Linked DNA regions of Coturnix japonica. The protein of the gene in region 1 purifies or fractionates together with the protein of each later gene. This does not show direct contact. Links are inferred from orthologs where the notes say so. Each region holds a gene or a part of one and is shown in the gene's direction. Other genes may lie near its edges.

The links.
Region 2: the proteins of EIF2AK2 (region 1) and ZNF346 purify together in Homo sapiens (affinity purification with mass spectrometry; 3 studies listed by BioGRID and IntAct, with this or other methods). This does not show direct contact. The link is inferred for Coturnix japonica from reciprocal best matches to the Homo sapiens genes EIF2AK2 and ZNF346.
Region 3: the proteins of EIF2AK2 (region 1) and STAU2 purify together in Homo sapiens (affinity purification with mass spectrometry; 3 studies listed by BioGRID and IntAct, with this or other methods). This does not show direct contact. The link is inferred for Coturnix japonica from reciprocal best matches to the Homo sapiens genes EIF2AK2 and STAU2.

The regions. Positions count from the first base shown.
Region 1 is NC_029518.1:28,765,380-28,770,145, forward strand, and holds the start of EIF2AK2 (interferon-induced, double-stranded RNA-activated protein kinase), read left to right. Parts: upstream 1-1,736; 5' UTR 1,737-1,883; intron 1,884-2,501; 5' UTR 2,502-2,531; coding exon 2,532-2,635; intron 2,636-3,081; exon of another isoform or gene 3,082-4,205; intron 4,206-4,222; exon of another isoform or gene 4,223-4,377; intron 4,378-4,766. Other genes in the region: NANP (N-acylneuraminate-9-phosphatase), read right to left, coding at 341-1,036, 1,165-1,254.
Region 2 is NC_029528.1:12,090,261-12,095,190, reverse strand, and holds the start of ZNF346 (zinc finger protein 346), read left to right. Parts: upstream 1-1,985; 5' UTR 1,986-2,000; coding exon 2,001-2,151; intron 2,152-2,247; coding exon 2,248-2,351; intron 2,352-2,771; coding exon 2,772-2,864; intron 2,865-3,675; coding exon 3,676-3,826; intron 3,827-4,611; coding exon 4,612-4,851; intron 4,852-4,930.
Region 3 is NC_029517.1:106,907,863-106,912,776, reverse strand, and holds the start of STAU2 (double-stranded RNA-binding protein Staufen homolog 2), read left to right. Parts: upstream 1-1,969; 5' UTR 1,970-2,099; intron 2,100-4,914. Other genes in the region: UBE2W (ubiquitin-conjugating enzyme E2 W), read left to right, coding at 20-150. UniProt on the Homo sapiens protein: RNA-binding protein required for the microtubule-dependent transport of neuronal RNA from the cell body to the dendrite.

The DNA.
Region 1 (4,766 bases):
TTCTTTTCCAGTGTAGAAACAAGGGACTTCCATCAGAGACAAACATGCTTTAGCCAGTCAGTCCAAGTAATTTCCAGATACAGGCTGGAACTACTGTTCCAGCACACAAACTGTGCTTGCATCTTTTATATTCCTTATATATTCTTTATATCCTTTCTCTAAGGTCCCTTCCAACCCGCACGAGACTATGATACTATGATGATATTGATCCAATACTCTGTTTTTACCCCGTTTCATTGACAACCACGCTCCACCTGCTGCTTAAAACATAACATACACAAGTTGAAAATCCTAGGGTCAGATCTGTATCAAGAGCACAGGCAGCAGCTCCCTGCAGCCCTCAAGGGGCCTCCGTCCCACCCGCAGCACGGTCAGTTCCTAACTTGGCGTTCACCTTGTGCTCTATCTTCTGCAGCACGGCCGGCAGGTCCAGAACGGAGGCAATGACATAATGAGGCACCGGGGAGGCATCAGCCGGGGCCGCCATCGACTTGTTTAACCACACGGTGGCTCTCAGGCCGGCGTTCAGGCCTCCCTGGATGTCTGTGTCGAGAGAGTCCCCCACCATGACGCACTCTGCCGGCTGCACGCCCAGCAGCTCGCAGCAGTAGTGAAAGATGGACGGCGCGGGCTTCTCCTCCTTCTGCTCGCCTCCCACCACGATGGCGTCGAAGTAGGGCTGGCAGGCACAGGCCTCGATCTTCTCTCGCTGCGTCTGCCGGTCTCCGTTGGTGAGGAGCAGCAGGCGGACGGCTTTGCGCAGCTCGGTCAGCATGTCCCGCGTGTCCTCGGGCAGCGTCAGGTGCCGCAGCCGGGTGGCCTTCCACAAGAAGTAGCACTCTGCGGCCAGGCTGCGGTTGGCTTCACCGCCGACGGTCTCCCGGATCGCCTCCTCCCAGTGCGAGATGCGCAGGTCGGTGATGCACATCTTGGCGGGGTCGTGGCACTCCTTGAGAAGCTTCTCCTGCACTTTGTCGCAGATCCCGCGGGCCTCCCCCTCCCCGTAGTGGTGCTTGGAGCGGAGCGCGTTCACCACCTGCAACACACAGCACAGCACAGCACAGCACAGCACAGCACGGCACGGCACGGCACGGCACAGCACGGCCCGTCCGCACACCGCCGCTCTGCCCCGCCCCGCTCCCTCTCGCTGCCACCCCCGCGTACCTCCTCGATGGCGCAGCGCCCGGCCGCCGCCGTGTCCACCAGCGTGTTGTCCAGGTCGAAGAACACCGCCTTGACGCCGTGCACCCCCATGGTCGCAGCGCGTAGAGCCGTGCGTGGCACACAGCCGAGCCAACACCAAACCCTGTGTCCGCCCCGGCGCTGGGAGGGGCCGCAGTGGGAAGGGAGTTCCGCGGGGCGGGGCCGGGAGCGAAGCCGGGCCTCTAGCGCCTTTATTTTAAAGCTAATAAATAAACTCCTTGAGTTACGTAACTCAGAGTCAGGGCACGAATGGCTGCCAAACGGGCCCTCCGCTCTCTCAGCAAAAACGGCCGTAGGGTTCCGTGCACCGAGCCTGAGCCGAGCTGCCTGTGCCCGCAGATGTAAGGCGGAGCGCTTGTAAGCTGAGCGGTCCGTAGCGCTGCAGGCAGCGCGGTCCGCCACGGCAGGGCGCTGTGAATGAGTCGCAGCCGCCCAGCCCCGCTCCCCGTCCGCCTTTCGCTTTCGTTTCGTGCCGGTGCCCCGATGCTGTGGGAAACGGGGGCGGGGCTCCGTCCGCAGGGCGCTGCGCGGATCCTCGGGCGGTGCGGGACGAAGCTGCGGCGACAGCGGAGGTAACGGCGGCCGTGGGGAGCGGGGCTGGATCGGCCTGCACGGAGTGTTCCCGTTAAGAAGTAACTGTCGCTGAGGCGGACTTCCCAATTCATCTGCTGTTTTGTTCTGTAAGTGTTTGTTTTTCTCTTCCTGTTTCCATCGTGTGTGTAACGGAGACTGACAGCCTCGTAGCCTGAGAGTGTGCGGGCTGCCGTGCCTCGGTTCTGCTCTGAAGGAAGCGGTTTTAATTCTTTATGGAGAAACGTTACTGATTTCTCTCAGATTCCACGCAGTGATTCAACCTCCTGCAGAAATCTGCTGAGAAATCGTCCTTCATCACTAAACGCGCCATTCTGCTTTCACAGAATCACAGAATGACCCGGGTTGGAAGGGACCTCAAGGATCATGTAGTTCCAACCCCCTGCCTGGCAGGGCCACCAAACATACACATTTACTAGATCAGGTTGCCCAGGGCCCCGTCCAACCTGGCCTTGAACACCTCCAAGGACGGGGCATCCACAACCTCCCTGGGCAGCCTGTTCCAGGGCCTAACCACTCTCCTAAACTTTCTGAATCTGTAATCTCAATCTCAGCAGGTTTGGAATAGAGATGCAAGCCAACGACCTGAATGAGAAATCAGAGTTAGTTGCCGTTCTGTCCCTTGTCACAGTGCTACTCCGGCAGAACGGGGCTGTCTCTGTAGCAGTGTGTGAGACTCAGGCACGGCCCTGAATATTTCTCCACAGAATCTTTTGGTGCTCAGATATTGCATTGAGATGGACCGAAAGTATATGAGCTTGGTCAACAACTACTGCCAGAAGAGGAATGCCACGCTCGATTACGTCGAGGTGGAAATGAAAGGCCTACCTCATGACCCCGAGTAAGTTCACCACGCATGCCAATGAACATCAGCACGAGGTTGAACAGAAGTTGATTTGCTTGGAAGTGTGGCAGAGAGCTGCCTGCAAACACGGATGGGTGGGTGCAGGAGGTGTCACTGGGCACATAGGGCCTAAGGGAAACTTAGAGCTCATGGCTGCTTTTGGGAGCACTTGTTGCTGGTGGTCGTATTGCATTGATGCTTTTTTTGTCATGAATTATCTGAGGGGGTGGGTGGATTGCAGACGGTGGTTTGTGATATGTGGTAATTTAAGCGCTTTGGTTTTTATTGAGTTTTACAAAGTAATTTGGTGATTTATATTGTTAATTTCTAAGAGTAAAGGTTGGGTCTACGCTTATTGTTTGGTTACCAACGTGTTTTTGTGTGGCATTTTTGAACATCTGTTACAAGAGAAGGGTCTTAAACTGTTTTGCTTTTGTTTCTAGAGACAAACACAGAGGATGGAATATGTGGAGTTGTTTATTGTTTTAACACAAATGCAATGTCTGATGTCTTGCTTGTCTTTCCCTTACCACAGATCACAGACACCCAATGTCTATAATATCTCCTGCTCTTTATTTGCTAGTTTGCATGAAGACAGATCTTATACTAATAATCAGGATGTTTCTTTTAAATGGTGGTCTCCTGTTGCCAGCCTGCACTCTATGTGCTGACTTATTCTCAGAGTTGACTGTAATCCCTGATCAAATTATCTGTCTCTCAAGCCTTGCTCTACTATCTTTTTTTTCCCCTCCCATGCAATTCATACTTCAAAGGGATTGCATGGGACTAATACAATGTATGTATAAATTCAAATCCAATTCATTTGTCCCCTCCCAACTCCTTGTGCACCCCAGCTTCTGTGCTGGCAGGGCAGAGTGAGAAGCTGAAAAGATTTTGATACACTGCAAACACTGCTCAGCAAAAGCTGCTTTTTCATCAACACTTTTATCATTGCAAATCTAACACACAGTACCATACCAGCTTATATAAAAAAAGATGGCTCCACCCCAAGCTGATTGAGCACAGTCACTCTTGAGTTTCCTGGTCTGACTCACTGTACTGCTGCCTGAGCAGTATGGCATGATTGGTTGTACACCAGAGGTGGGAAGGATCAGTGGCTGAGTGTTCCAGGGTCAGGACTGGTTGCTGATATTATTACAGCAGTGACGGTGGAGAGTTACACTGGAGTCTAGTATTAGACAGCTCAGAGCTTACCGGCCCTTGAGGTCCCTTCCAACCCAGGCCATTCTATGAAGTGACTGGATAATACCATTCTGCATCTCTGATGCATCTCTGTTATTTTTTTGAGATTCAATGTGGCAGAAAGGGACTGCTTTCAAATGTATAATATAGAACAGCAGTGTATGGGAACTCTTGAGTCATGGCCTGAGCCATTGATTAATCACCTGAGTCAAGGACTGGGACAGCTGTGGGAGCACAGGTGAAGGCAATTCAGCTGTGTGACCTAGACCCCATTTATGGGCTGACTACCACAGGGGAATGATCTCTTTCTGGAGATCCCTCCGTTATGGAGTTTTCCACCGTGAGCCCAGATCCTTGGATACTGGTGAGCATTTCTTCCTTGATTCATTTCTTCCTTGACTGTTTCTTTTCCACCATGATAATCTTTCCAACTATAACACCTGCAAAGTACCATCCTAACCATGCTACTCTTCTAACTGTACAAGCAGATGCATTTTTTGTTTTCACTAAGTAGTGCCTGCAGTACTCTCTGAAAGGTGAGTTTAGTGTCATTTCTGGATGCATGAAATCAATTTTAGCTAATCTTTAGCATTTGTGTAGTTTTACGATGCTGAGATGTGTACAGGTACTAGGGCTTCTCAACCTTGTATTGTAACAATGACCACCTTATGCATTCTTTAGTAGTTTTGCTTTTAGAAATGCTAATAGAACTAGTATATATGTGGTTGTGGTCAGGAAGGAGATGGCTTTTTTTTTTTTTTTTTTTGAATCTTTATAGTAAAGGGTTATGATAACCAGGAGTTAGATACAATAAAAACACATGGATGCTCAGATACCTCCACAGGTAATTTAGTGCTTTGAATGTAATACAACTACAGTTTTATCTGAAAGAGTCTTTAAGTATGTATGAGACAAAGCTTACTAA
Region 2 (4,930 bases), on another chromosome or scaffold:
ACTTGCTGAGCCCTCTAAAGACAGAACATTGCACAAACTGCACGCACAGCTCCAGAAGCGGCTGCAATCATCACTGCAGTCTCAAAACACTTGTCTATTTGGGATGGGAAAATTAAAACAAGAGCTGCTCTATAGAGAAGCTCTTGCAAAACAAAGCTGTTCTGCTCCAGCTGAGCTGAACCTTGGCTGTTGCTGGAACACCATAGTTATACTTGCTCTGCTTTTTATCTTTAGCTCCAACTGGTCTCTTTGCCCTCTGTCCAGAGAGATGAACCTCGATGCCCACCTGGTATAATAGAACTGCACCCCGTTATCAGCAGGACACACAGGGGTTTCAGTTCTGAGCCTGGGCAGGGTCGCTGCTTTGGAGATGTCAGTAGCAAAACACAGCAGCCAGCAACAAGGAACTGCAAAGCGTTTGTGTTTGAGTCCTGTTCAAATCCATGCTGCTATCACCAGCTCTCCCCTCCGCTCGATGCGCTGCGCTAAATAAGAGATCAGCTGGAGTTACCATGAGTCACCTACCTCCAACATTTAAAACTGGGGGGGGGAGAGGAAAGAAGATGTAAAAGATGTAACCACACAACTCCCACAACGCTGCCGAAAACGAGGGGAGCTGTGGCAAAGAGCCTCTGTGTGAATGTAACTAAGGGAACGAGACGAGGAGAGATCACTTGTAGCTGCGCGGGGCTGTGAGTAGGAGCAGTAACAGCTTTTATTAGCCCAGCTGATAGAGCTGAAGAAAACAAGCAGCAGAGCAGATAACAAACAAGCAGATAAGGAAGCTGTGCATAGGAGCCGCATTTTGCTTTCAGCACTTCTGCAAAGGACCAGGCTGCTTTCAGGTCCAGTGAAACAAAGCCTGAATTGGCCAAACCCACCTTTTGCCTCCCATATTTTCCCATATTTTCCAGCTTTGAGATCCAAGCTTTGAGTTTGCAAACGCTCTGGCAGTGAAGGTGACCCCCTGACAATGGCCGTTCCCCAGGCCCATGTTTAGGGATATCCTTGAAGATCCCCAGCTCGTGCTTATTTGTCATGTCCCCCCTCGTCCATCACTTTGATGAATCAGAAAGCAATTACCCACAGAATCATCCTCAATCCTGACACCGCAGCTCCAGACCTGCCAGAGCTGCGACAGCTTGAAAAATGCTTCAAAAACGGAGCCAACAAATGAATGACTCTCATTGCCGATGGGTTTTTTGGAGCCGTTTGAGATTCAGGCTGGAGTGTGGGAAACAACCACCCCCCATTTCCCCCCATTCACAGGGATGGACACGGTGCTGCCCCTCCCCCCCCCCCCCCCCCCCCCCCCCCACCGGGGGGGGCCCCCCCCCCCCCCCCCCCCCCCCCCCCCCCCCCCATATATACACACAGGGACACACAGCGGACGGGCAGCACGGGGCGGTGCGGGGCCAACAGCCGGGCCGGGCCCCGCCGGTACCGCCCCAGGGCTGAGGCCTATAGGGCTGACCGCAAGGGAAAAGGCCCCGCGGGACACGGCCGGGCCCGGGACCTGCTGGGATCTACCGGGATCCACCGGGATCTACCGGGATCTACCGGGACCCCGCACGCCGCCCCCATCCCATCCCATCCCACCCATTGCCGCCCCGCACCGCGGGTCTCTTACCCGCACTCAACTTGGCGGAGAAGGCCTCATTGCCCTCAATCAAGATGGCGGCGTCGGCGTCGCGTCACGTGGGAGGCAGGAAGGCGTGGCCGTGCGATGCGGGTGGCGCCATGTCGTGTGCGGGCGGCGCGGCCTAAAGGAGCGGGGGAGCGGAGCTGAGGCCTCCATTGGAGCCCCTCGGGTACAGCCGGGATGGATGGCTTATTTACTGCTTGAGTTCACACGGTGCAATAACATAACGGTGTCCACTAATTGAGTTGCGGTCTTCCAGCCTTGAATCAGCAGCCGTTCAAGTCCCCCCTCCCTGCTTGCAGCGATCCCGGCGACAAATGGCGGCGCCGCACAGCCCCCTACGCTGCCCTCAACAAACATGGCCGCCGCCGCTTCGCCCCACCAACACGTGCTGCACACGGCGCTCCCGCGGGAAGCCGCTCTCGCGAGAGCGACCGGGGCGGCCAAGATGGCGGACGGGGCGGGTAGCAACGGGGACGCCGCGGCGCTGCCGGTGGGGAAGGAGGCAGGTGAGGGACACGGGGCGGGGAGCGGAACCGAGGCGGCACCGGGGGAGGATGGGGCTGAGATCGGTGTGTGCTGTGTTGTTTGTGTTGTGTTGGCAGTGGAGCGGCTGATACGGGAGAACGGGCACATCTTCACCGAGGCGCAGTGCAAGGTGTGCAGCGCGCTGCTCATCTCCGAGTCACAGCGACTGGCGCATTACCAGGTGAGGGGGGGAACGGGGGGTATTAATGGGTAACAATGGGTATCTATGGGTATCAATAGGTAGCAATGGGTATTAATGGGTAACGATGGGTAACGGGGGGCAGCAATGGTATCAGTGGGCATCAATGTGTAGCAATGGGTATCAGTGGGTATTAATGGGTAGCAATGGGTATCAGTGAGTAGCAATGGGTATCAGTGAGTAGCAATGGGTATCAGTGGGTAGCAATGCATAACAATGGGTAGCAATAGGAATCAATGGGTAGCAGTGGGTATCAATGGGTAGCAATAGGTTTCAATGGGTATCTATGAGTAGCAATGGGTAGCAATGGGTATCAATTAGTAGCAGTGGGTAGCAATGGGTATCAATGGGTAGCAATAGGTTGCAATAGGTAGCAATGGGTAACGCTGTGGCTGCCCGCAGAGCAAGAAACACGCCAACAAGGTGCGGAGGTATCTCTCCATCCACGGCGAAGAGGAGCTGGCACCTGGGAAGAAGATGAAGCTGGACGCCAAGGTGAGAGGGGAGCCTGTGCTGTGTGGGTGTGGGCTCCAAGAACAGCTTTTGGGAAGGGCTCTGTGGTTAAGCCCTGTTGGTGAGTACGGCTCCTGTTGCCTTTCCCTCCTAAAGAACCACATGCTGCTTCTTTCTGAAGGGCCCTCCAAGAAGAGCAGAGAAGCAAGGAGCTGTCAGTGTTATCACAGCATGTATAACGTTTTGTTTCACTGACAGCATATCACAGGGTTCCTGCTTCACCACACTTCTCTTTAAGTCATGGGTTGTTGGGTTTTTTTTTTTGCACTTTTTTTAGTTTTATTTCATCTTCTTGGTCATTAAGGGGTTTATTCACCAGCCGTCTGCTCCATGACTCGTTTGGGAAATAGATTCTACTTCTGTCATTGCTTTGGTTGTAGTCCCTGACCCTCATAGATTTGTTGCATGGATGGAAGGGAGATGAAGGAGGTTGCCTTCATGCATTGTGAGGCCTAGCAGTGACTGCCACTGTCTGCCCAGCTGGCGTTTCTTTGCTGATGGCCCAGCTGATAGCGCTGTTTGTGCTCCTTCACTCACACCTTAGGGAGCAGGGGGCAGATTGGTTCATGCTGCCCTGCAGTTAGCCTTGTTCTGGGCTCAGAACCTGTAGTGTTTCACTAAAAGACTGAGGAAAAGAGAATCTGAAGTGGGAACACTTCTGCTGAAGGAGCGGAATGGAAGTCTTATTCAAACAACTTCACATTCAGCATCTCTGATGATTCAGTTCCTTGAATGCCTTAGAGTTCCTCGTTGTAACAAACTTTTCCTAACCTCAGCCGTTCTGTGTGCACAGGAGAGCAAGCAGGAAGGCACCAATGGGGAGGACAGGAACAAGTGTTGTCCCATCTGTAACATGACCTTTTCTTCTCCTGCTGTGGCCACATCTCACTACCTGGGGAAGACTCATGCCAAGAACTTGAAGCAACAGTCCCCTAAAGTGGAAGGTGTGTCTGTCCTGCAGTGCCTTTGTGTTGTGAAGCTCAAAGTAGGAAAATGCTGCACGTAATTACTTTCCATTGGGAGGTGCTATTGGACATATGTCATCCTTGTTACATCTGTGTGGTGTTGGCTGTGAAGCAGGGAAAGCCAGCAGCCTGCCTCCAGATCCATGGCCTTTATCAACAACGTGCTTGGTAGAATGGCTTGGCTAAATGCTCCTGCATGCAAGAAATGGGACAGAGCCCATTGCTGTGAGATTAATTTGTCAGGCCTGCTCAGCTACAGGGTTGTAGCTTCTGTGGTTCGGCGACTTCTGAGCTGCAAACAGCCGGAGGCTGGGAAGTGGGACTGTGTGCTTGCCCTGACCTCGTGCTTTGCCTCCGCTTTCTGCCACGGCCCATTCTCAAGGCAGGGTCTGGCTGTGAGGAGCCTTCAAGAAGGGAGGCTGCACACATAGTTCTGCTGTCTGCTGCTGCCCTGTGAGAGGAGCCTGCAGGTGTTTAGCTCCTCTCTGCTGTTTGTGCCCCCTGCTGGGAGTTGTCTTACCTTGTGCCTTCCAGTTCTGGAGCAATAAGGGAGGAGGTTGGAGCAACACGGATTTATCCAGAGGTCTTACATCCTCTGACTGGGTTTCTTTTTGGGGCTGTTTTATGGTTTTGGGGTTGAGTTGGGTTGGTTTCTTTGGTTGTTTAATGCATGTTTGGGGGAAATAAAATTACCTTTTTTCGTTTTTTTGTTTTTTGGGTTTTTTTTCTATTTAACTGACCAAGAGTTTGGATTCATCCTACAGAAGTGGTGCCCCCACAGAAACATCCCGCTACCCTCCCCACCTCTACTGTATCCTCTAATGAAGAGAACAAGGACATTACAGACCCAGACAAGTTCTGTAGCCTCTGCCACGCTACTTTCAACAACCCCCTTATGGCAAAACAACATTATGTAGGTAAGAAACACAGAAAGCAAGAAACCAAACACAAGCTGATGGCACGCTATGGCCGAACTCCTGACGCACCGACATCGTCCTTCCTCGGTGAGTTCACAGCAGACAGGTTGGTAAGGAGCTGGAGAGCAGGGTGGGAGAGCAGCACTGTGCATCTGACAGGACTCTG
Region 3 (4,914 bases), on another chromosome or scaffold:
CCCCATTGATATATTACAGCAGAAGAGTACGTAAGGAATATCCTGCTGTGTTCTTCAGCTCAACTCTTAAATGAAGTACAAGGTAAGGAATGTCAGAAAACTAAACAACGGAAGGATGAGAAGGGAAGGATGACAAGCTACCACAGCTGAATCAAGGGTGTGTATAAAGCTGCCTTAGCAAATGCTGCATTCCCCAAAGTGTATTTAAACAAATTATGTCACTGTAGCGTTCTGTTGGCGTGAATAAAACCTCGCTGTCGCCTGGATACTCACAACACCATCCTGTCACTAAGCCTCAGTATGTGTGTTTGGTGTGTAAATCACTGCCTCTAATACACAGGCTTATGCAACACGCGTTTGGGGTGCACTATTAGTGTGTGATTATACCCCCAGCATCTGGGAAGCTGGTTGGGCTCAATCCATCCATTATGTTCTTTGCTCTCAGCTGGTGCCCCAACCCCCTGTGTGGTTTCCAGCTGGTTTCAAAGAATATCTATTTGATACAGCTGATGTTTCAAGATAGTCAGAAATTGATTTCACCCATGCCTTAGAAAAATAAAGTTATTACTTATTTCTCAGCTAAAGGAAGGTTTCATTGCTGAGAAATGGCATTACAAAGTGCTTTCCATTTTGTTTTTCCCTGCCCAGCCCTATGTGACAAGCAAAGCCCCGAACGATGGCTCTAGGGATGATGCTTTGGTAATAGAACCATAGTGTTGCTGTTGGGTGGAAGCCCTCCAACAGCAGCAGTGAGTGCAGAGGGCTTTGCAACCTTTCTGGGCAGCTCCTGGCTGGGAAGCCAAGGTTTTGACACTGCTGCTGCTTGGGGCTTCGGGGCCTGTGGCTGCTGCTCCATAAGGGCAATCAGCTGTAGCAGCTGCCCTCCTCTTCACCACGTGCGTTGCTGCAAGGAACCGTGGTTTGATCGGACATCACGTAATCCGCGTGGACTGAGATGCTGCCATCAGTCGCGTTGATTACATTCAGCCTTCCTCTCACCACTCCTGCCTGGGAGAGGCGAGGGGTCACGCCTTATAGCGAGGCTGTTGTTACACGCGAGGAGGCAGAGCGAGATGAGTAAAACCCAATTCCAAAAGCTGTTCTCCTGTCGTTCCTCACCGCCGGGCAGCGAGCAGGCAACAGCTCCCGGTGCGGCGTCGGGCCGGGCCGGGCTGCCGATAGGGGGCGGGTCAGGGCCAGGGGAAAACGGGAGGCAAGGAGAGGTAAAGCGCTGCGGGGCTGCGCTCGGAGGAGGTGAAAGGCAGCAGCAGCAGCTCGGCGTGTGACAGACAGCTGCCGCTTAGACGGGCGATAACGCAGCTGGAGTAAAAGCTGCTTTTTCACGGGGCTCTCTCCTCTCTTGTGCGCAACTGAAAAAAACGTGAAATTAAAAGGACGGCGGGGGTAGCAGGGCGAGCGCCGGAGCGCTAACACGGCTCAGCCGTCCGCCCGCTGACAACTTGCCGGCGCCGCGCTCTCTGTGCTTATGTCGCTCTCGTACGGCCGCAGGCGGAGCCGGCTCGGCCGCAGCACACGCGGATAGCGGAGCTCCTCGCTCGGGGCCGCGGACGCCGCCGAGTCAGTGACCGGGGCCGCTGTGGCCTCGCACCTGCACGGTGCTGGCAGCGCCCGGTCCGCTCCGCCTCGTCCCTACCCGGGCACTGCAGCCCCGCAGCCGCCGCGCAGAGCCCGACCGAACCGGCCTGAGCGGCGCGGCAGGGAAGCGGGGCGACGGGCCGGCCGCCCCGGTCCCCGCGGCTCGGCTGCCGCTAGAGGCGCTGCGCGGCCTCGCCGGGCCGGGAAGGGATGCGGACGGGGCCATTCGCGCTGCCGGAGCGGGGGGGAGCGAGGCCGCGGAGCGGCGCCGGGAACACGCCGCCGGCGCCGGGGGCCGGCGGGGCGATGGCGGAGCGGCGGGCGAGGCCGGCGGCGGGCAGCGGGGAGAAGGGAGGCGGGACGGCGGCACAACGGGGCCGCTGCGGGAGCGCCGGGGGGAGGGCGGAGTGGTTGGGGCCGGCGGCGGCCGCCGCGGCGGCGGGGTCAGTTCTCTTTAGTGTTTGCCGATGTTAGAGGCGGCTCCGAAGCGTCCCCGGAATCAGGTAACGGGGCCCGCCGGGCTGCCCCGCTCCCCTCCGCAGTGAGGGGAAGGGCGGGCGCGGGGTGGGGGAGCCGAGCCTCGGCCGGAGGGGAGGGGGCTGCCGCAGCCATGATGTCCGGGTTCTCCTCCTCCTCCTCCCCGCTCTCTCCCCTCCCGCCGGCGCGGCGCTGCCCCGAGCAGCGGCTCCGCCGACCCCCGTGCGCCCTCCTGCCGAGGCACCGCTGCGCCACGGCGGGATGGAGGAGGGGGGCGGCGGTGGAGGCGACTCCGCCATCTGCCCCGCGGCCCTCGCCGCCGCCGCCTCCTCCTCCTCCTCCCCCGGGCGCTGGAGCCGGGCAGCGGACGGCCGCTTAGGGCACGCAGGTGGGCACCCCGCCGCAGCCCCCGGTCCGGAGCTGCCCTCGCCTCGGGGCCGGGCGGTTGTGCTGGGCTCGGCGGGGTTGCGGGCCGGGCCTGCCCGGAACAGCGCGGGGAGCCGGTGCGGGCTGAAGCGGTCTCGTTCTCCTTGGCCTGCTGCCCCCTCCCCGCCCCCGGTGTGCCCGCTCCGCACGGCGGGTTCGGAAATTCTTCCTGCGGTTCTTCGTGCTCTCGCACGTCGCCCATCCGTTCGTCTGCGTTAACGTCCACTGCCTTCATTTCATTCACCGTGCTCTTCGCCTGAACTTGGGACAAGGTCCTAAACTTTTGCCAGCAGGACTGCGCCGTCGTGCTCCCAAAATGGATGTCAGTGTTCCTTCCATGAGGCAGCTGGCCGTGCAGTGCTTCCCGGGGGCTCAGCGAGCTCGAAGGCTGTGGGGCTGTGTTTGAGGTGGAGTGGAAGGAGAGGGATGCATTTTGCAACAGGCCGAGGCCCTCCCTGGCCTTCGGGTCTGTGGGAAGAGAAGACTCATCTTGAATGTGATGGGGTCTGGATGGGGCTGCTGGGTGCGTGCCTACAGCTCAGGGCGCTGCCTGCCCAGCCCACGATGCCTAAGAAGCACCTTTCCTGGCAATGCACCCACTCAGCGTTGCCCTGTGGCAGGCGAGCTGTGCCTCTGCCTGCTAAGGAGTGTCCCCTGCGCAACTACTGTAGTAGTGAATAAAGTCTGTTGCACCGAGGAGTGGGTGGAACATCCCTTCTGCTACTCCTCACTGTGCCTCGGTGATTACTGAGGAAATGCGTGTGGATTGCCACAGGGCACAAGTAAAGCGATGGCTCTGGTGGAGCTAGGTGGGGTTGGTTGCACTGTGCTCCTGTGATTGAGTGCAGGTTACTTTGAATCTCACCGATATTACTGCTGCCCAGGAGTAAAGCCTGAGATGTACAGTGACTCCAGGTTGGAAATCTGTTTTCTAAACACAGGGAGATTCCACAAAGGCGTTGTTGTGATGCTGCTGCCTGTAAGAGGTGCCAGGTCTGACAGTTCCCTGAATGAAGCCTTTCTGACATCCAGCAGCACTGTGTGATTCCCAGCACTGACTTCCAATCGTGGATCCTCTGCTTTGCCCTAGAAAAACTCCTGGAGAGGGAGATGCCTGCTCTTGCTGTGCTCACTCAGATTCCGGCTGCTGGAAGCTGGAGTGAGGCTGCTGCTTGGTTGTGGTTTGTGAGGGAGAGTGCAATTCAGGTTTTCCTTGCTTGAAGGAACTTCTTGATGATGTTTGGCTTTGGCAGAGGCCATCCAGTTTGGGTTCTGGTCAGGCTGCAGTTTGGAGGCGGAAGACTTTAGATCTCATTCCCAGGTTCAGCTATAATGTCAGAGTAATAACACCTTTGAATAATCTTCAGTCCTGAGCTGTGAAAGTGGCTTGTAAAAGAGCTCCCTAATTTTACATGTAGGAAAACTTGGTCAGAGGTGTTTCAATGACTTGACCAAGTTTAAAGAGGCAATTAACTCAATCAGCCCCTTCCTTGGGGGCAAATGCCAGAGCTGAGTCTCCCACAGAGGTTTACAAACACAGCTGCATGGCCATCCTGGTGCGTGTTGGTGAAAGCTGGGTGTGTTGGGGTTGTGAGATGCCATGGAATGACCTTGGAAGGTTAGATGATGTGGCAGAGCAGGTCAGCAGTTGCAGTGCTGCTCCTCCAGCCTCTGGGAGGGCTGCACCTGTCGTGCTCTGTCTCTTTGCTTTGACCTGCCTGGAGCACGTGGCTATTGATCTGCTAGTCCTCAAAAAGAAGAGAAGCACTTGGATTGATCATGTCTGGTCCTTCAAAATGCATCCTGTTGCAATATCGTGCAGCGAGGGAAGCAGTCCTTGTAAGGTGTGCGTATGCAGTGCTACTTTCATTGTGTGTTTGTTTCATACATCCATGTAGACGTCTGCATAGATTTCATCCATTGGAGAGCTAAATATCTGCTTCCTCACACCACATGTGGTAGGGAGTACCTAACCTGTGCTCTGTAGCATAACTCTGATAACTTCTGTTAATGAGCTGCCAAAGCTTCACTTCTCTTCCCTTGGCCATATCGATCTCCTATCAGCAGCAGCAACAAAGAGTTCCCTCAGATAGACCTGCCTTTACCAGAACCAATTATGGTACGTTTCTCATCTTTGGATCACACCCACAGCCCGTATTTCTCAAAATAATGCCTGATTTTTCTCCCTCTTCCCCAAAGAGGAAGAAAAAGGAAGGAGGAGGATGCTTTCCTAAAGCACCTATGGGTGCTGTTGCTGGAGTCTGTGTGGTAGAGCCCTTCAGGTGTTCATGCTTCCCAGCCACCCTTCTGCTGGGCTGACCTTGTTGATATCACACTCATGTGAGGATCAAGGTTGTGAGAGCCTGTGTGGAGGTCCTGACCTGAACACTCCTCCTTCCCTGCTTGCTGTTCATT